Linked DNA regions of Rhinolophus ferrumequinum. Each later gene encodes a partner of the first gene's protein in a complex. Links are inferred from orthologs where the notes say so. Each region holds a gene or a part of one and is shown in the gene's direction. Other genes may lie near its edges. The genes, in order: TACR1 and TAC1.

Region 1 (10,329 bases):
CACATTTCCAAAACTTGCTTGAAGAGAAGACTGACCCATGGATACGTGGTAAAAACACAGATTACTGAGCCCCATCCCAAGCCTACAAAATCGGAATTATCAGAGGAACATGATAATAACTGATGTTTACATAACAAGTAACACAAGAGATTCTTGTCTTCTGAGCAATTGGAAAACACTAGACCAATTTTAAGCTCCTCCAATTTTAACGTGCATACAAATCACCTAGGGTCTTCTTTAAATGCAGATTATAGTTTAGTAGTTCTGTATTGGCCCAAGAATTTGCATTTCCAACTAGCTGGTTCAGGGATCAGGACTCATATTTCTGGCCATAGTTAAGGATGAAATCCTTCCTAATTCATTTTTTGATGCATAGCACTAATATTAAAACCTGATCAAGATAGAAAAGGAAAAAAAATCTATACATCAATCTCACTTAGAAAAATAGGGGCAAATATGTTAAAGTAAACATTAACAAGTAGAATCCAGCAATATATCAAAGGAATGATACAGCCTCTGGCCCAGCAGAATTTATCCCAGGAATGCTAGGATGGTCAATGTTTAGGCCAGTGTGAGGAAGTCTATCCACTTAATCCAGTATGGCAACAAATTAGTGAAAAAAATCACACACTCATATCAGCAAATCCTGAAAAAGGCATTTAAAAATAAAAGAAATTACAAGACATTCCTATTAAAACTTCAAGGCAAAATAAAGTAGAAGGGAACTATTTAAACATAAAAGACTTGTTATCAAATGTAACAACAATTATCCTAAATGGTAAAAACTAAAGCCATCTTAATTAAATTCAGAAACTATAAGAAAATACCTGCTGTCATCATTTTTAATTTAATATTGTCTTGGAAGTTAATGAAAATTCAGTGAGACAAGAAAATGCTAGTAATGTGATTGAAAACTAAGGCAACTCAAGTAAAAGGGATCAGATATATGGTGATGGAAAGAGAACTGACTCTAGGTGGTGACACACAATGTGATATATAGATGACGTATTACAGAATTGTACACCTATGTAACTTTGCTAACAATTGTCACTCCAATAAACTTTAGTTAAAAAAAAAACACAGAACTATAGAATGAATGAAAAGTGTAGTGAAATGGCTAGAACACACACATACTCACACAAATACATATACACAGAAGTAAATAGGTTTTCTTCGATCTAGGATAAAAAAGGAAAAAATATTTCATTTACAATAGGAAAAACAACTACAAAATACGTAGAAATGAATTTAATCAAAAGACTGGATCTATTTTAACCAAAATTATAAAATCTTTTTGAAAGGCATAAAACAAGACTTGAAACAATAGAAAGGCATACCACGTTCTTGGATGAAAAAACTTAATATAGAAATGTCAATGTTGTGAAAATTAAATTAATTCCAGGCAGTTTCTTTTAGAGTGCTAATGCAGTTTGTTCAGGCTTTTAAAAATTGAGTTAAAGTTTAAATGTGATGCCCCAAAATAGATAAGAAAAGTATGAAATGAGCAGTCAGGTGAACTTGCCTTACCAGATACCAGAATATTTTACTTCTGTATTAGTCAGAATAAGCTGTATCACAGTAGGTAACAAATGAAGCCCAAGCCCTAATGCTTTAACACAACCAGAATTTGTTTCTTGCTCGCGCTACATGTACGCCCATAATGACTTAGCAGGGGCCTATGTATAGTCATTTGGGAAATCACAGTGATCAAGACCTGTCATCTTGTAGCTGCATCATTTGGGACTCGGCAGGAGAGAATACATGAAGAAGTCTCTCTCTCTCTCTCTCTCTCTCTCTCTCTCTCTCTCTCTCTCTCTCTCTCTCTCACACACACACACACACACACACACTTCTATGCTTCACTCAAGAAGTGACACATATCATTTCCATTCAAAATCTACTGGTTGAATTAGTCACAAGGCTCTGCCTGATTGCAAGGGAGCTAAGGAGAGTAAGATAGTGTGTGTGTGTGTGTGTGTGTGTGTGTGTGTGTGTAGTTTTGTTATACGAGTAGACAAGTGAATCAGTGGAAAAGACTGGAGAATATAAATATTAAATCACACATATTTGAAATTTTAATTAATGACAAGGATAATGGTTGAATTCCCTGGGAAAATGGATGGAGCTATAAAAGTAAAAGTAAATATTTTACATAATATAAAATAACAAACTCCAGGTGAATTACATTTTACTAAATTTAAAAAATGAAACAATGAAAAGCTTCCAAGAAAATCTAGGAGACTATGTGAAAAAAGCCAGGATTTGGGGAGATGTTTTAAAACCAAAATGCTATTAAAGCAAATGCAAACTACATAAAAATTGTTTAAGTTTTTACATTAGAAAAAGTATTTGAAATATTCATGACGGGCAAAGTGTTTGCACCTATAATATACAAAAAGCACTTATTTTACAAAAAATGACTGGAAAGATATCCAACAGAAAAAGGGACAAGAGATGTAAATAAGCAATTTATGGAAGAGACAATCCACATAGCCAAAAAAAATCTTATAAAAAGTTCAAATTCTCTAGTAGTCAGGAAAATAAACACTATGTATTAGCAATGCTATCATATTTTACATACTTTAGACTGACAAAACTAAAAAGACCTTTAATACTTATTACTGGAGTAGATGTGGGGAAAAGGGTAATTTAATTGCTAGTGAAATATAACAGTGTTACACCCTTTTAGAAGGCAATCTGGCAACATTAAACAAAAATAGGAATATACAACACACACACGTACATATGGATATAAATATAATCCATGACCTAGCAATTCCTCTTGAAATCTATCCCATAGAAATAAAACATGATTGTGGAGACCTATGTAAAAATGTATATTGCAGCATTGTTTTTAGTAGCAAAAACTGGAAGCAAAGTGAATTTTTATGATTAGGGAAAGGAGTGTATAAATTATGGTGCATCCATAACGCAAGAATAATATTTAGCCATTGAAAAGAATGAGTTAAATCTCTCTTTGTTGACTCTGAAGCATCCAGACAATATTTTGAGTGAGAAAAACAAAATTCAGACAATAATGAAAGTCCTATATTTGTATACACTTACATGTGTGGGTATTGTGTGTTGGTATTTCTTTTTTATTGTATTAAAGAACCTAGACAAATAAGGAAGGATTTATCCTAGGCTATCAACAGATTTGCTGTGAGACTGGTGTGTCTGTGTTGTGTGCCAAGGAGGAAGTTCAGTAGAAAGAGGAGTTAAAGAAAAAAGAATAAGAGAAAAAATAGCAACTCTTGGAGGAGAAAAGCATATCTATAATATCTTATCTATACATTTGTGCAAAGTTTTCCCTATGTGGGGAAGAAAGTCTCTTTAGAAGGGACAATGCTTGAGAAGGTCCCTCCACCCAGCATGGGTGTAAACCAAGGATACTTTCTGCTACTGTATGGCTGAGGCTTTTTAAAAATGTGAACCCATCATAAATATCCTTTGGGTGTGTGTGTGTGTGTGTGTGTGTGTGTGTGTGTGTGTGTGTGTGTGTGTGTGAAAGAAATTAACTCCAGCAAGTCACATATATTTCTAGGACATGGCTACCTGCCAGGGAGAACCAGGAGCAGGAAAGAGAGTCACCCAGGCTAGCTTCATCCACAAGTCAGGGCAGGAAATGAAGACCTGTGAAAGTCAGAGTAAGGAATGTAGGTGTTCTTCTAAGAGAGCTGGGCTGTCCTCACTTACGCAGTTACGCAAAGTGACATGGTTTGACATAAAACGTCTCTCTGGAATATTCTCTTCTATTTCACCCTCCACTTCTCATCCTTAACATATTCTCCAGGCTTCTCCACTGATACGATTTTCTACCTTCCTCCCTGATTCCCCTCATTGTCAAGGTTAGGTACTCTCCCCACCCCCACCGCCTCTTCTCCTCTCAAGCAGAGCCTAATACCTTTGCTCATCATAATACTGCCAGTTTGCGTAATTGTCTCTTTCTCCCTCACTAGACTGTGTTTGCCCGGCTGTATCTCCAGCACAGTACCTGGCTCAAGACATGGACGTGCTCTACTAATGGAGGATAAATGGATAAATCCTTATTTTTTAGCTTAGTATTTTTCCCCCTTAAGCATCGAGTCAAGTTCCTTTAGAGAATGTCAGCCTGCTGCCCCTGAACCAGAAGAAAGAGAGAAAGACAGCTTTATACAGCTAGAGAGGAAACATTAAAGGTGGACACGCATACGCACACACTCTCCCTCAGCTTTGCGAGATGGTGGAAGGAGCAATGAGAGGTCCAGGGTGGTAGAGAAGGCGATCCCTTCGCTGCTCCGCCCCCCTCTCCCAATGAGGGGGAGCTGTTCTCTTCAAGGCATCACTGGGTTTAGGGGTGCCTGGAGGAACCGGCAGTGCAAAGTGCGGTTCATATAAACAATGAAATTCCAGGCTTCAACAAAAACAGAGTGAACTAGCAGATATCCCAGCCCTGAGAGAGGATCCGATTTTAGCCAGGCATAAATCGGTGCAATAAATGTCTAAGCCTTAAAGAGCTTCCCACGACATACTTTGCGCGCTCGTGGTAGAAGCGCGCAAGCAAGCAGGACTAATGCGCAAACGCCGCTCCGGGAGAGTGAGTGCTTGCGCGGACCCGAGCCCCCGGTGTTACTCCGGGTCGGCGTCCCCCAGTTGCGAGTCCTCTCAGTGAAGCAGGGGAGGGTCGCGGGCAGAGGGGTAGGTGGCTCCCAGAAACAGCCTGCAGGTTCGAGTCCCCACGGAACCACATCTCCTTGGCAGTCTGGCTGGAACCCGCTCCGAACCTGAGTCCATCTGAGCGTCTCCAAAAACGGTTTGCAACGTCTGGCGAGTCCTTCCCACCTCCTGCCAGTGGCCGGCACCCGCTCGGCCGTTTGATGTGGCCTTGGGCTGGGAGATCAGGCTTCGAAGCCCGCCAGGGAGGAGTGATAGGGATGGAGGGGGGAGAAAAGAGGGGCAGAGCTACCCTTTCCAGTCCCTATGCAAACCTGGGCGGAAGAGCCCCCAACGCCACCCAGGTCCCCGCTCCGGCCCGCAGGCCCGGGAGGCGCGGAGGCAGAGGCTGCCAGGTTCCCAGGCGGCGAATGCAGTGAATGATGGCAGAGAGAGCCCAGAGCCGCGCATCTGGGCGACACACTGCTTATGGGTGACTCCTGAGCTTACCAAGCTTCGAAGGGAACCCAGCCAGCCCTCATTGCCTGACGCGGGTCTCATCTGGAGAGATCAGCTGGAGCTTTTCATGGAGCCAAGGGCCAAGCCACCAGAGTGGCGGGGGCTGTGTCCCCAAAGCTTAGAACCTATCCCAGCTTCCCAAGGAAATCGGCAAGCCAGGAAAAGAAGCTAGGTATTTTAGGGGTGTTCCTGAACACTACCTCCGCAAAGTTCCTTTCCGGACACCTGGAACCGGGTGTCGTCGCCTCTCGCTTCTCGGTAGCGGGCAGAACAAGCCCGAGGTTCACTCGAACTGGAGCGCGGGCTAGAGTGCTGCCCGGAGAGCCGCGCTGGCATGCCGCCCCCTACACGTGCCCAACTCCCGCAACCACAGGCAGGCGCCTCTGCAGAACTGTCGCAGCGCTCAGAGCTGCCCTCCCAGGAAGTTGAGAGCCCATCACCACAGCTATTTCGCCAACCCCTCCTTTCCCTTTGGTGCATCTGGGTTCCAGCTGCAGACCCCAGCTGGCTCAATTACTCCGAGGCCACCTAGCGTCCCCTGGCGGAGTGCGTGGGACGCCCGGTTTGCGGACTCCCACAGCAGGTAGCTGCAAAAGGCGTGGTGGCTGCGACGCTGGAGTGAGACAGTTGCCAACAGCTGGTGCAGCTGCCGCGCTGCGCAGCGGGTCTGGCGAGTACGCAGCCCAGGTACTGCCCCTTCCCGGTGACGTCTCTGCAGCGGGTTATAAAAAACCTCGCTCTCAGCCTGCCGAGGTTCAGCTAACTCACAAGCCGTAGAGGACCCGAGCCAAGGGGCGGCTGCGAAGCTGCAAGCAGTGGCGGCGGCGGCGGTGGCAGCAGCCCCGGCGGCGGCGGCGAAAGCAAAGGAAAAATTTCCAGCTGGACACGGGTCCCCAGAATCTCGGCCTTAGACTCTGAACTTTTGCAGGTCGCGTTGTGACGAGCACCCCCTTGGCTCCCAAGTCCTCACGCAACACAGAGCTTTGCCTTCCCAGCTGCGGGCAGGTGGGATTGGAGTTACAAACAGCAGCAGGTGTAGAAAGGCAAGGGTCTCCTGCTTCCTGGAACCGTGACCCTCGCGATTTCTTTCCCGTTTTCAGTCCAACGCAGGAGAGACGCTGTCTCCAGATTTCTGGACTCAAATGCTTCCTGAAGCTTGAAAGTGGGGGAATTCAGAGCCAAGAGGGGCAGACAGCGCATCAGAAGCATTCATCTTCCTAGCGCCAAGTCTCCTACTTGCAAGCAAAGAGTTCTGCCCAAACGAGCTTGCAGCCCTCCTGTCTTGGTTAAGCAAGACCCTGATCCCAGGTACTGGCCTCGGGACCCTGCTGCAACGTAGGTGCGTGTACCGAGGGGACAGCTTAACCGCTTAGCTGAGGAATGGATAACGTCCTCCCAGTTGACTCAGACCTCTTCCCAAACATCTCCACCAATACCTCGGAGCCAAACCAGTTTGTGCAGCCAGCCTGGCAAATTGTCCTTTGGGCAGCTGCCTACACAGTCATCGTGGTGACCTCTGTGGTGGGCAACGTGGTGGTAATGTGGATCATCTTGGCCCACAAGAGAATGAGGACAGTCACCAACTATTTCCTGGTGAACTTGGCCTTCGCGGAGGCCTCCATGGCTGCATTCAACACGGTGGTAAACTTCACCTATGCTGTCCACAATGAGTGGTACTATGGCCTGTTCTACTGCAAGTTCCACAACTTCTTCCCCATCGCTGCGGTCTTTGCCAGTATCTACTCCATGACGGCTGTCGCCTTGGATAGGTGAGCTTGCCCTTGGTGGAAACTGAAGAAAGTGTCCACAGAGGACGATGGCTTTGCTATGGGGAAGCGGGGTTGGGTTCTGTCTGGTTCAAATTGGAGGGTGGTTACCCTGGACCCTGGGGTTTTTGCTGGCAGCCAGTTGTTGATGGGGGACTTAGTCTTAATCACCATTTTCTACTCTATTTCCTCTTTCCTTTTCTCCCCTTTTTCACCCATCATCAGTCATCCTTCCTTTTTTCACATGCTCCCTTTTTTATTTCCTTTAACCCTCTTTTCTTCATCCCTTCTCCACTCCTCTCTCAGACACTTTCCTTTCAACTCCTGCTTTGCTTCTTTCTGTATATTCCTTCTCTCCTTTGCCCTGAAAGCCTGAAGGGGATACCCAAGGCTTGGCCGAGGGGCCGGCCCCTGTCTTGGGCTCTGTAAACCCCTGTATGCCTGCTTTTCTTGGGCAGCCTCTTGGTGCCTTCCAGTTTTAAGTACACCTGGCAACAATTTCTCATTTTGGACTTTTTCCTGAAGATGCAGGGACTTTCTGCTCCCACCTCAACTTTCCAATATTATTTGGATGTGAAGAGCATTTCAATAGAATCATAACTACTCAGAACTCTAATTCAGCTCCCTCTTCACTGCTAGGAATTCTCATTCAGGAATGAGAGGCAGCTATGCTGTCCTTAAGGAACTCCACAGTTAGGGAGCTTATCCAGGAGTTTTTCTAAATTTCCCTTGTAATGTGAAGTCAATGTTTTTAGCCTGTATGTATCCACAGAGAAACATGCTTGGCGGAGGCAATTGAGAGCTCTTTCTTTCCTGCAACGAACAGGTTAGGGTTTCCAAGCCTGATTGAAAGTGAAAAGGTTGGCATTTTTAAATACTGAGGCTAGCGCTTTGGAATGAATGCACCCTTAGATGGCGTGGTGGAAAATTGATTATTAGAGCACAGCTATATTTGTATTGATTTTTTTGTGGATGTCCTAGGTCTGTTGTGTGTATGTTTACATGGACATAAGTGTTAAATGTTTACCAGGGATGTGGAGATATGTTTGAAACACCTGCCACTGTGATTTAAAAGAGGGTTCTTTGATGGCCTTGCTGAGATAAATGCATGTGAGAAACCCAAAGAAGGAGCTAGGCGAAAAACTTCAAAACAATTTTTCCCAAACTGCTAAATGCTTTTGCATAAAGATTGTTTACGATTTCCAATTGGTTTGAGGTCTTTTTCAGCTTCTTTAGTGAATGAACACTTGTAAGATCCGAGAAAGTTATGTTTCCTTTGCAGTGGTATCCACATGCTGAATTTTAAGTCCCATGTATACTTCCCTTTATGCAACTCTTATGTGCTTGATATGTTGTGTGTAAGACAAGTTCTGGTGAATCAGTTATATTTTAAGTGTGGAAGGCAAACCAATTACACAAAGTGGTAGTGAAATGAATTCTTTGTAAATGTATCATTTACGCTACTCTAGTTTGCAGATACTCAGTTTGCTGAGAGTGAGGTACAGTTGTAAATCTGTCTGCACTGACTTGCTTCTTTAACTTCACTGCAACCCCCTTAAACTCAGAAACCCCTTAGTGTGATCTATAACTGAATATAGGCACGATGAAAACTGGAGCCTTGCACATGCTCTCTCAATGATCCCTAAATTACAGGGAAAATTGTTATTTGTACTTCGTTGGGGCCTTGTTGGAGCTCAGGAGTCCTGTCAATCAGCATGAGCCCCAGCGGATGGCCCTTTCACTTTGGCTTACACAGAACTGACATGTTCCACAGCCCTGCTCTTTCCCTTGAACTTAGAAGGTTAAGGACAAGAGTCAGGGTCAAAGTCTTCACAGTGGATCGGGCAGAAAACCAGATTTCAGCTGCCTGGACTCTGGCATCTCAGGCTCCACTGTTTTTCTCTAGGCAAACCACAGACAGGACCCTGACCTGGTGTGTCCTGCTCAGTGAGGTCGGAGGATCTCTGGTGCCAAAGCTGAGGGAAATGACAGCAGCGAGAAATGTCCCCATGTCTCTTATGTACAGAACAGCCCAGGGAGATTATCAACGACATGCTCAAGGTTAAAGTTCAAGGTAGAGTTAGGGATCCAGTGTCGGCGGCATTGGGGCTGTGTCTCCAAGGTCTCTCAGGGCTCCTTCTATTTTTCCTTGCTCACCTCATTGAGGAATCCGTGAATTAGCCCCCTCAGCCCCTCTGAGGAATGTAGCTCCCCCTGTATTTGTGGTCATCTGTTCTCTCCCAAGAATGTTTTCATAAAGAAGGAGCCTTAAGCTCTCTCCATTTGAATGATCTCTCCTTTCTCCACCATGGCAATGCGGGCTTTGAAAAAAGGTTAAGCTATCTTTTTGTATGTTCTTTGAATTTTTAACAGGTAATCTTTGAATCCAGTCTTTAAAAATGAAAGCAAGATGGTTTTCCAGATGATAAAATTAAACCTTGTTCATTGTAGAAAAATTTGGGAAGTATGAAGAGCGTAGAAACAAAATTACAAATCAACCATTACTTCCCTATGCAAAAATAACACTTGTTAACATTTGAATTTCTCTCTTATGACTATTACACTACATAATTGAAGTCAGACTCTATATAATTTTGTAACTTACTTTTTCCCATTGATATTAATGGAAAACATTAATAACATTTTCCTAATTTATTAAAAAGTCTTCAGTAACATAATGTTAATGTCTTCCTAATATTCCATTATATGAATGTGCTATTATTACTTTAAGCATCCCTCTACTGGTGGGTATTTAGGTGGTTTCTAGACTTTTTTTTGCTATTATGACTAATAAACTAATAAACATTTCTGTATGATAATTTTGTTTTGTGTTCTTGATTATTTTCTTAGGGTAGATTCCCAGAAGTGGAATTACTGGGTCAAATGAAATGAATTTTTAAAAAACATTTCCTCCTAAATTTAAAGGATTATAAACTCTGAGCAGAGCAAGGAACATGTCTATTCTGTCTTGTTTATTTTATTTCCTCAGCACAAAGCTGAGTGCCTGGCATCTAACAATCACTACATGTTTATTGAATAAGTGAATGAATGAATAAAATAATACATGTTCCTAGAAAAACATTTGGAAAATACATAAAATTGTAGAGAAAATGTAAAAATCATCTACAATCCCACTTTGGACAGTTAACCAGTTAAAATCCTGGAATGCTAGCTTGTACTTACTTTTTCTGTGTTATTTATGCCACATGCAGTCACTCATACTTTTAAGGACAAATTTTGGATCATGATAAAAACAATGTCAATAGCTGCTTTTTTGTTTTTGTTTTTTTGTTTTGTTCCTTAACATCATGTCATGGGTATTTTCCATGTCATGAACTATTTTCAAAATAGCACTTTTAATGGATGCATTATATTGCATGGCTATAATTATTTATTTAACCATTTCTCTATT
Region 2 (10,795 bases), on another chromosome or scaffold:
AACAGACCCTCCAACCAGGCAACTGATGTGAAACAAAACACTGCATAAAATCTCCGAAGAAAGAGCAGAGTCTAGGTATCCAGACTGCACTGCACCTCATCCAAGTTTCCCTTCCCTCTTTCATTACCTCAGGCTAAAAAAAAGTGAATGGAATACAAAACACCTAACCCTCAGAGTGAAAATAAAATCTCCAAAATTGTAGGAGCAGAGTCAAATATTCACTCCTATTCTGTCTGCCCAGAGCCACCCAAGCAATCTCAAGATGGAAAGAGTAGCCCAGAAACAATGCAAATATATTACACACTGTATTAGGATTCTCTGGAGAAGCAGAATCAATAAGATGTGTGTGTGGTGTGTGCTTGTGTGTGTACAAAGAGAGAGAGATTCATTTCAAGGAATCAATTAAGGGTTTAAGGAATTAGGTCTTACAATTGTGGAGTCTGGCAAATCTGAAATTTGCAGGGCAGCCTAGAAGTCTGGAAATTCAGCAAAAAGTTGATGTCTTGAGTCTAAAGGCAGTCTGGAGCAGAATTCCTTCTTCCTTGGGAGACTTCAGTCTTTTTCATTTAAAATCTTCAACTGATTAGATAAAGCCCACCCACATAATGGAAAGCAGTGGTTTTACCCAGAGTCTACTGATTTAAATATTAATCACATCTTTAAAAATACCTTCACAGCTATATTTACAGTGGTGTTTGACCAAACAACTGGGCAACATAAGCCTAGTTGAATTGACAGATAAAATTAACCATTAGCGCGCACACACACACACACACACACACACACAGCCACCTAGAATAATAATAATAAACATTCATTGCATGTGCTAGGCACTGTTCTTTATACTTCACATGTATTTACTCAATTAATTGCCACAGCAATGTTATAAGGTAAGTACTATTTCTTATACTATTTGGCAGATTAGAAAATTGAGGCAGAGTGCTTAAGTAACTTGTCCAAGCCCACATGACTAGAAAGTGGCTATGCCAGTATTAAAATTGGTAGCACTTGCTCAAAACTCATGCATTTACCATTAAACCAGAAAAAAATATAACTCAGGAAACAGAAAGAAATTCCCTCAATTACTTCACGCTAAGAACATCTTAACAAGAACATAAATGCAATAAAATAAGAGCATACCAATAAAATAATAAAGTAATTAAATGAGACAAAAAAGGAAAATACTAGTCTATGAGAACAAGTAGGGGAATATGCAACATGATTATGGAAATAATAAGTAAATTAGAAACGGCAAGGTACAGAATAAACAAAGGTGAATTACTGACCCAAAAAGGAAAGACTTAAGGTAATCTAAGTGAATACAGATGAAAGGGGCAAAGAATTAAAGCAATTTGGAAGAATATTATAGACATGAGATATCAACATATTACAATATTTATATATAATATAAAATATATTATGATCCAAAGAAAAAGACCATAGCATTCTTTAAATGAAATTTCCACTTCAAAGATATATTTAAAGACCTAATACAATAGAATTTTCCTAAATGAAGAAAGAGAATAATTTGCAAAACAAAAACAGTTCATGAAACTCCAATAAAATCAGATTTAGGATGACTAACAACAAGACATATCCTAATTAAACTATTAAATGTCAAGAATAAAGAAAGAATTCCTCAGATAGTCAGGCAAAAAAGCAAGTTACATACAAGCTTAGGGAAAAATTGTCCCACCTCAGAATTCTCCATAACATTCAGTTCCACAGGACAATGGAGAAATATCCATAAAGTACTGTGAAAAATAAAATTTAACTTTAAAGTATTACAACTAATCTAGATGTCCCTTGAGCTTAGAAGCCACAGACAGATATTCACTAGCATGAGAGAACTCAGGGAACACAATATGTGTCATTTCTTCCTGAGGAAAAAAATTTGCTTGACAGTGACTTCCAGCCAAATAAGAGACGATTAAAAATAAACTTGAGAATGGCAAAGCTCAGTAGTGTGTCTACCTATTACATTGTTTTGTACACCTGAAACTAAAAATCAAACAAACAAACAAACAAAAAACTGGTAGTGAACAGTGAAACTGTTTAAATACAGGCTGAATAGTAGACATTTCAAATACTAATAAAAGTATGGTAGCAAAACTAAATCTAAGTATTATAAACCTGAATAATTTTAAAATAATCATGTAACTATCAAAATGGGGAGATAGGAGAAGGGGAAATGGGAGAAAGTTTAAGAGTGCTGATGTCCTCATCTTTCAAAACAGGGAATAAAGAGATATTATCTAAATGTCTATTTTTTAATGTTACATGCTAGCTTCTTAATGTTTATTTCTAAGTCTTGTTTTTTAACATTAACGGGTTCTTTTGAAGAAAAAATATCACGTGAAGAAACATTTTTCACTTTTTTTTTGTTTTTCTACTGCTAAAGTCAAACAAAATATAAATATCTTTCATTAAAAATATTTTTGATGGTCTCATCCTGTTTTCATAATTTTTACTTATCTGTCTACTGTTCTATTCTTCTAACCATATAATATGCATGGAAAGATATTCACAATGATGTTCTCTTAATGCTAAGGATGGCAATTTCTGAATTTGCAATAATGAAAAAGAAATACATTATTGTACTTTTCTGCATTGCTTTGTTTTTCTATAAAGATTGTATCTTATTTTACAAAAACAATCAGGTGACTATTTTCCCATTAAAAAATTATAAGCAGTATATCAAGATGTTAACAGTGGTTTGTTCTGGCTTATGAGAAAATGGATAATATTAATTTTTTTCTTTGTAATTTTCTGCAGTTTTTTTAATTTACAAACATAAAAAATGATTTATTAACTATTTACTTTTTCACCATTTTACTTCTCATGCATATGTATTTTATTAATATATTTTTTCATAAATTTGATGTTCTGGGAAATAAAACAAATAAAGAGTATAAATATCCCAAATAATAAATAAAATACAAATAAAGAGTATAAATATTCCAAAGAAAACCATAAAGAATATAAATGTTCCAAACCCGCAATGTTCAAGGACAAAGCGTGTCAGTAAAGGCATGATCAGACTAGGAGCACTAAGTTAGCAATTAACGAATGACATGGAAAAAGTGAGAAAAGTATTCTTTAACCAATTTTATCTCATTATTATTTATTACTCAAGTATATGAAACACCCTGTGTTTTGTGTACTGTGGCATATTTACAACGTATGGCACCTGACTAGAATTATACACCTGGTGACATTGAGCTAACAGGGAAGAAATAGCCATCTTTATTGTTACCTTATAAACCACATCAGCAACTGAGAAACAACAAAAAAAAAATTAATCTAAAATACCCCACTTTACGTGTGGAATTTTAGAGTGTGGAGAGGGATATGAACATATATTTGCTTATGTCAAAATAAAAATAACAACAATAACAATAACAATAATAATAGAAGGATAAACTAAAAAACTGAAAAGAAATGCTACTAGAAGGAAGAGGTTGGAGGGACAGAAATTAAAGCTACACTTCTCTGAATGCATTATGTTTTGAATATTTGAGTTTGGAACTATGTATTTTTACATAATGTTCAATTTAAAAAGCAGTCCCTAAAACTCAAAATCAAAATGATCAAATGAACCTATGTGTTTAAGAGTTAGTAGCATAACTATACAGAGAAGAACTTTTAAAGTGACTTTAAAATATAGTAAATGGACTGAACATACCTAGTGTGATATAGCCTAAAGATAAAGACATGCAAATAAAAACTATTAATCTGTTTCTAATAATCATATTGTTGATCATGTTGGCATTATGCATTGGGATAAAGCTAATGAGTAATTATGTTGACGTCACTGGGAGCTGGAATTTTTTTGGCAGGATAGAATAGATGCAAAACAGAAGAGGTTAAGGAAAGAGACTATGGTATCCTGATTTGCAGAGGAAGTGTCAATATACAGTTATGATTTTACACACAAACATTTCCAGTTCTATTCATTGAAAAGGTCTTGAAACAATGAAGTACTCAGTAGTAATATGCATCCACAATGCCCAGATTATAATCTCTAATTATCATTTCTACAAAGGAAATGAGAGTGCCTTAAATGCAAATTGCAGGTCTGAGAAAGAAAATACACAACTTAAACCTGGCATATCTTGTCTCACCAAAAAACAAGACAGCCATTAAAGCCTATTCAAGACACATCAGAAGTCTCAGGAACCAATGTGAAATGTCACCCACGGTCCAAGAAACTGGATAACTTGAGCATCAGTTAGAAGAAGGCCTGCTTCTATCCTTCTTTAAAGGATTGAAATACTTCACATGTTTAATTCCATGAGGTCATAATCATCCTAAAAGTTTTGGAAAAAACGTCCATGCTTGAATGTTTTAATTTACCAACTCATTTTTAAAATTGGTCAAAGGAAGTAATCAAGCACTTATCCCGTCTTTCTTATATTTATAATGTCTTGGAGTAATTAAATAGTTGTTGAGAGAAAATGTTTCTCTTTATATGGAAGAAATAGTCCAGCTAACCAATAAAGAATGAATGATAAAATCAGAATAACACTATTTTGAAAGTACTAATGAACTAATAGATCTAGAAAATGATCATTAAAGACTGCTAACATCTCAAAAGAAGAAACAACCAGTTATCATGTGTTTCCTAACAACACGTGCAAAGCAGCTTTGTCAGAAAAACCAAACCTACAGGGGATCAAGCTTCTAGATACAACTACCAATTAACAGGAAACAGGACAGAGGAACAAGTTAAAAGAAACCATTAGGAGGCAAGCAGTAAACTCCAGAATGTAGTACACTTTATTGATTACTTTTATCCATAAACTATGGCTTCTGGGAGATTTTAGAGATATACGAACCAAGTGCAGGGTATGATTTCAACTAGTAAACTGTATGGGGTAGGGATTTCTGAAACAAGAGGAATATTTGAACATTGACTGGATATATAATATTGTAACGAATTATTTTGTGTTGTTTTAGGTGGAATAATGGCATGGTTCTGTTTTTATTTTTAAAATCTCTACCATTATATAAATATACAGGCATGCTGAAATATGTACAGTTGAAATGTCTGAGATTTGCTTCAAAATAATCTGAGTGGAAGTGAAATAGGAAGGATTTCTAGATAAAATTTGCAAATTGTTTCAAGTGGATGATTCTCTCTACTTTTGTATATTTAATATAATAATTTTCCATATAAAAACTTATAAAAACAAAAAATAGAATGCCTCTGGTTGTGAGGCTAGGCCTAAAGAAATGAGAGACACATGGGAATTTCAAAATGCAGGGTTATGTAAGAAAGAACATATATTAGAGGAAAAAATTACTGGTTTATATGGGTTGCGAAAATTATTTATTTTATGCATTACACTAAATACATCGGAGTTAGCTGCAAAATATAGTACTTACTGAGTAAAGAGGAGAAAACATCTCCACCAAGAAACATCATTTAATTCATTTAGAGATGAAAGAAATGTGTCTGCAAGGCAAACCATGGGCTCATGGAAAGCTGTGATTTCTGTACAGATATTATTAGGCTAATAGTTTCGTATTGTTAATGACCACGCAATTAGCATCTTCACTACACTTGTTTTCAGATATAGGAGAAATCTATGAATGATCTTTACAGTCGTTTAGCGACACCCGGTAAGTATCTGGTACCATCTTGCCGGTTTCTTAATCTTCAGCAAGAAAGGGTAGGAGAGAAGAAGCTGAATATCCTCTTTCCCCCTGCTTCTGGATGTGGCAAGGAATAGGACTTAGCTATTTTGGAACAAAAGATATCCTAGAATGGCACTGAAATAAAAGTTCTACCTGCAGTATCACGTTTAAATTCCCCTTTCTCCAAAACCTGCATCCATCCTCTGAAATACTTTGGTGACTAAAAATCCTTTTGTAATGCTGAAGATATTCGGGTATTCCAGCTGATATGGGAGAAGGATGTTCTGCCCATGGAAGGAGGCTGTATCTCAGAAACACGTAAGACAGTCTGCAGATGGAAACAGAAGGTGGAAAAAATGCCTTCCACCCCTCCTCCCCCATTTGAAGTGCTCCTACTTTCTTAGCACGATTTCCGACGACAAGATCTTAATACCTGAAGTTATTTGCCCATCCTTAGAAGTGCAACTTATCCTGACGTCTCAAGGGACGGAAAAGTTGCCGAAGTCCGAGGAATGAGTCACTTTGCTCAATTTTGATGAGTAATCTCAAGTGTCAAGGAACACCGTTTGGAAGAAGGAGAGGGGAGGGGGCGTCAGATCTGCAGACGGAAGAAGACTGGCCCCTGGGGATTGGATGGCGAGATCTCGATTTTCCTAAAATTGCGTCATTTCGAACCCAATTGGGTCCAGATATTATGGGCACCGACCGGTTACCGTCTCGGAAACTCTCAATCAGACGCAAGCGAAAGGAGGCGGCTAATTAAATATTGAGCAGAAAAATCTCGTGGGGAGCGAGTCACGTGGGTCTAGAGGCTCGTGGAGTCTCAGATAAATGCAGCACCTCACTAGGCCGGCAGAAAGCGCGCTGCGACCTCCTCCTCCATCGCCACAGCGACCCAGTGTGGAGCGCCCCGCGTGCGCTCAGACCAGCCAGAGCAACCCAGCGGGCTCGGCCGCAGCAGTAAGTGCCCGAGCCCTGCCGGGGGGCGCGCCGCGCCGCGCGTCGCTCCGAAGTGGCGGCTGACAAAGCTGCATGGGCCAGCTGGGGCGAGAAACAGTGGGGGTGCAGCAGGGAGACAGGTATTCCAAATGCCTCTGTGCCTCTTTGTCTTCCATCTGCGGAGACTCCTGGCTTGAAGGTGTGGATTGGTGGGTCGGGGGCAGGGGGAGTTGGGATCTAGGGAGAAGGGGATTCGAGAAGCTTTGGGGCATGGTTATCTTTCCTAAAGGATACAGGCGGGACTTCAGCCCTTAGACTTTTTATCTTGGTTCAATTGCCCTTAGTTCTGTTGTGGGACCGACAATTTTGCTGCTCCAACTCTTGGATAGCCACCCCCGATGCATGTATTTTTCTCTCCTCGATCTCTTCTCCCCACTCTGACCAGAAATCCAACATGAAAACCCTTGTGGCTTTGGCAGTCGTTCTTCTTGTGTCCACTCAACTGTGTGCAGAAGAAATCGGAGCCAGTGATGATCTTAATTATTGGTCGGACTGGTCTGACAGCGACCAGATCAAGGTGAGCCCTGGTCCCAAGCTGGCCCATGTCCTTTTTCCTGGGCTTGGGACCTGTCACTTCCCCCCACCCCTAGTTAGCCTGGTGGGCACTACGACCGCGACCACAGGCAGTGGGGGCACACGGGGGGGGGGGATGTAAAGGAAGCTACTCCCTGGGACCCGCACGAGATTTTGTGCCCACCTTCCAAGTTTCTTCCCGAGGGCTGCGGGTCGGGTCTCCGGAACTCACTGAAGCAATGATGCCCTTCCTGATGAGCCCGGGGTCCTCACAAGGCTGGAAACCTCAAAAGGTTTCATCCCCAGGTAACAGGGATTTCGGGGAACTCCAGTCCAGCTGCAAGGACCTGGCGTTTGGAAACGCTGAGCCGGGGTAAAGGAACGCACCCCGGACATAGGCAGAAGCGGGGACGAGGGGCGAGCTGCTGGGGACTTAAATGAACGGAGGTGGATGGGAAGCTAACGTGCTGCCGTGGCGTTTACTTTACGGACCTGAACACGTAGCTGCCAGTTTTTCTTTACATGGCTCGCAGGTTCTTGGTACAAGGGAGCGCGCCTCGCTGGAACGTCGCTCTGTGCGGGTCACTTGTAAAGCTTTGTCACCCTTTCCCACTCATCCCCGACAGACACACCACACCTGTGTGCATTTAGAGTGGCGAGGCGTCTCCAAAGCCGGCGCCAGAGCAAGACAAAGTCTGGTGGCTGCGCTGCAGATGACGGAGGGGACCCGGGCTGGGAAGAAAGAGTGGAAAGTGTACAGGGCTCAAAGACACCGAGCCTCCTGCAAACTCGCAAGGGTTTAGGGGAGGCAGTGAGCTGCACAGGAGTTCCGCTGGGAGGGGTGGAGGCAGGGGGCGCCCTGTCCTGGACCCCCCTCGGCCGGGCGTGGGTAAGCCAAGCCTCCTCTCGCCTGCCTGTGGAGCCAGCTTCCCTGTCCTGGCCCCACCGGACCCCAGTGCGGGCCGCCGAGGTTCGCCCAGGGCTGGAGCGCACCACGGTAATGACTCAGGTTTCCGGGAGCCTCGTGCCGGTTGCCTACACGCCCATTTGTTCGCACGTCTGTCCCCCAGGAGGAGCTGCCTGAGCCCTTTGAGCATCTTCTGCAGAGAATCGCCCGGAGACCCAAGCCTCAGCAGTTCTTCGGATTAATGGGCAAACGGGATGCTGGTGAGATGGGCAGCCATCCCTCTCTTTATCTCTCCCGGCAATCCGCCGGGTCTGCCCACTCATTCTCAGGGCACTCACTCTCTCTGGCTCTTTGACTAGAGATTTCTAGCCTAAAAGGGGTGAAATTCCCCCTCCCCACCCACCCCTGGGGCGGCGCTTGCCCTCACCTCACTGTCACACGCACATGCCCGCGGAGGGAGGGAGACATCTGTTTCATATGCCTCACAGTGTTGTAACCAAACCACCAAGAACAGGAACCAACCTTAGCTCCCTGGACTAAAGGTCCAAACTGACCAAGCAGGAGCCTCAGGGAGTAGTAGTCTGATTAGTCTAAGTGCATGTGGAAGCTGATTATAGACGATTGGGGTTAGAAGAGACTTAGCTGCCCCTTGTCTAGTGATAGAAATATTCACTTTCTTTGAATTCATGTACCATCAGTGGGACCTGTGAACAGTTAATGTCAATTGTCTCTTGTCAGATTCCTCAATTGAAAAACAAGTGGCCCTGTTAAAGGCTCTTTATGGTAAACATTTCTATAAATCTTTATTTTACTATTGTGAATACATATGTAGGAAAGTGAAAATGTCTTTTATAGGCTGAAATACAGATTCTTGACTAAGTTTGTTTAATAAAAAGATGGATTTGGGTATCTCTCCCTCTCTCTCCTGAGTGTCTAATTCGTAGCCATCCTTGAAGATGTGTTTCTTATAGGAAAACAGAGGAGGTATGGCCTAGTTGTTAGCAGGCCTCAGGAGACTCATACTCCTGGATTTGAATCTGTGACCTATAGAAAGCACTTAAAAATATTGTGTTGTTTGTTAAAATATTTTGCTTTATTATCGATAATTTGGTGAACATTTATGGCTCTGTTATATTTCTCAGGATAGTACAAGAATGGGCAATGTTCCATATTTTAAAAATCAACTTATTTTATATTTCTCTTTAAAAGACATAATGTAGCCTCTTTAAAACAAATCTATTGCATTTGCTCATTTTATCTTTCTTTCTTCTAGGACATGGCCAGATCTCTCATAAAAGTAAGTTCAAAATTATTTGCACATTTATCAAACACAAATGTAAAAGATTGAATTCCACTTTATATAACACCTGATCTTATTTCCTGCTTCAACTTGGGACTTAATATTTTAAATTAAGACAATATAAGAATGGAGGAACTCATGTTTATATCCAGAACATGACTGTTTAAAGCTCTGTTATTTAGACATATCATACTTAACAAAATAATACATTATGTTAAAAAGCTTTTAACTCCCAGGTAAACTGCTGCTGAATTTCTGACTCACAGAAACTATGAGATAATAAATATTTGTTATTGTTTTAAGCTGCTATAAAAAAAAATCCTTTAACGCCTATAAATTGCTAGTTTAGAGAAGAATTTCAATCCTAGGAGTATAAATCCACCACACATTCTCCCCCACCTGTGACAACCACCAGTTCCACTGCAAATATATATATATATATACACACACATATATATATTTATATGAATCTTCCAACTCAGTTGAGTATGCTGGATGCCATGATGACTTGACTTATTAAGGTAATTCAGCAGCCAATTAAGAGGCTCCACTGAATGTCTCAGTAGAGAATCCTTATTAAAAGTAGATAGATAGAAATGCAGTTTTTCGATTCCATAACTGAATGGGAAACCTCAATCTATCAAAGCACAGTGAAGCATTTCTTAGGGTAGTGAAGATGGCAAAATTGTGACATTTGATGGTCGTTAGATCCCAGTTTCCCAGTTAATGGAACCAAGTTGACAGAAAGTCTCAGAGCTCCATCCTAATTGTATTGTCGACTTTCTTACCCTGACTTAGATTTTGGTTCACTGGGTGGCAGAGTAGGCCACAGTAAGATTGTCAATACAGTGTAAACCAAAATACATTCTCCCACTGGAGTTAAAATATAACCTTTTCCAAAGGCTTCAACCTTGAATATAAATCAATCATATTTGCTTTCTAAGGATTTGACTTTCTAGGGAATTATATATAGCAAAATCCTGTGTAATGAAAAAGAAATGCACTCTATTAATGTCAAAACTAACACACTTTTCCAAAAGGAGAAGTATTTAAAGTCCAATAAAATAGAAATCATGACCTTTCAGAAGTTTATAATTATCAGATGCAGGGATCAGACTTAACTAAGGTTTCGTTCCTGAGAAATACAACATTCTCAGTAACATGAGGAAATAGGCTTGGATATTTCTCTGTCACACAAATGTGAAATTGACTCCCTAAAAAATCAAAGCTAGCTTAAATAGCAACAATATTTAAAACTTTATATATAAACAGATAAAATATAATATGAATAAAGGGTACTTGCTAATATTTAGATATAGAATTGAGGGAAATGCTTTCCTTGTATTGTTTTAGTGTCATTTGCAAGACTTATTAGGAATGAATCTTCATTTCTTTGGGCTCACCAAAACTTGAAATAGACATCAATTTATTATATG

What was found.
Region 2: the proteins of TACR1 (region 1) and TAC1 are in contact, whole or in part, in a cryo-EM structure (PDB 7P02), measured with the Homo sapiens proteins. The link is inferred for Rhinolophus ferrumequinum from reciprocal best matches to the Homo sapiens genes TACR1 and TAC1. Residues at the interface, in NP_001049.1 of Homo sapiens: Gln24, Phe25, Asn85, Asn89, Tyr92, Ala93, Asn96, Trp98, His108, Asn109, Ile113, Gln165, Met174, Arg177, Val179, Cys180, Met181, Ile182, His197, Val200, Phe264, Phe267, Phe268, Tyr278, Leu279, Ile283, Gln284, Tyr287, Met291; in NP_003173.1 of Homo sapiens: Lys60, Pro61, Gln62, Gln63, Phe64, Phe65, Gly66, Leu67, Met68.

The regions. Positions count from the first base shown.
Region 1 is NC_046296.1:16,982,119-16,992,447, forward strand, and holds the start of TACR1 (substance-P receptor), read left to right. Parts: upstream 1-5,724; 5' UTR 5,725-6,531; coding exon 6,532-6,920; intron 6,921-10,329. UniProt on the Homo sapiens protein: This is a receptor for the tachykinin neuropeptide substance P. It is probably associated with G proteins that activate a phosphatidylinositol-calcium second messenger system.
Region 2 is NC_046303.1:29,688,306-29,699,100, reverse strand, and holds the start of TAC1 (protachykinin-1), read left to right. Parts: upstream 1-6,374; 5' UTR 6,375-6,471; coding exon 6,472-6,600; intron 6,601-6,629; exon of another isoform or gene 6,630-6,778; intron 6,779-7,024; coding exon 7,025-7,156; intron 7,157-8,222; coding exon 8,223-8,319; intron 8,320-8,797; coding exon 8,798-8,842; intron 8,843-9,332; coding exon 9,333-9,356; intron 9,357-10,795. UniProt on the Homo sapiens protein: Tachykinins are active peptides which excite neurons, evoke behavioral responses, are potent vasodilators and secretagogues, and contract (directly or indirectly) many smooth muscles.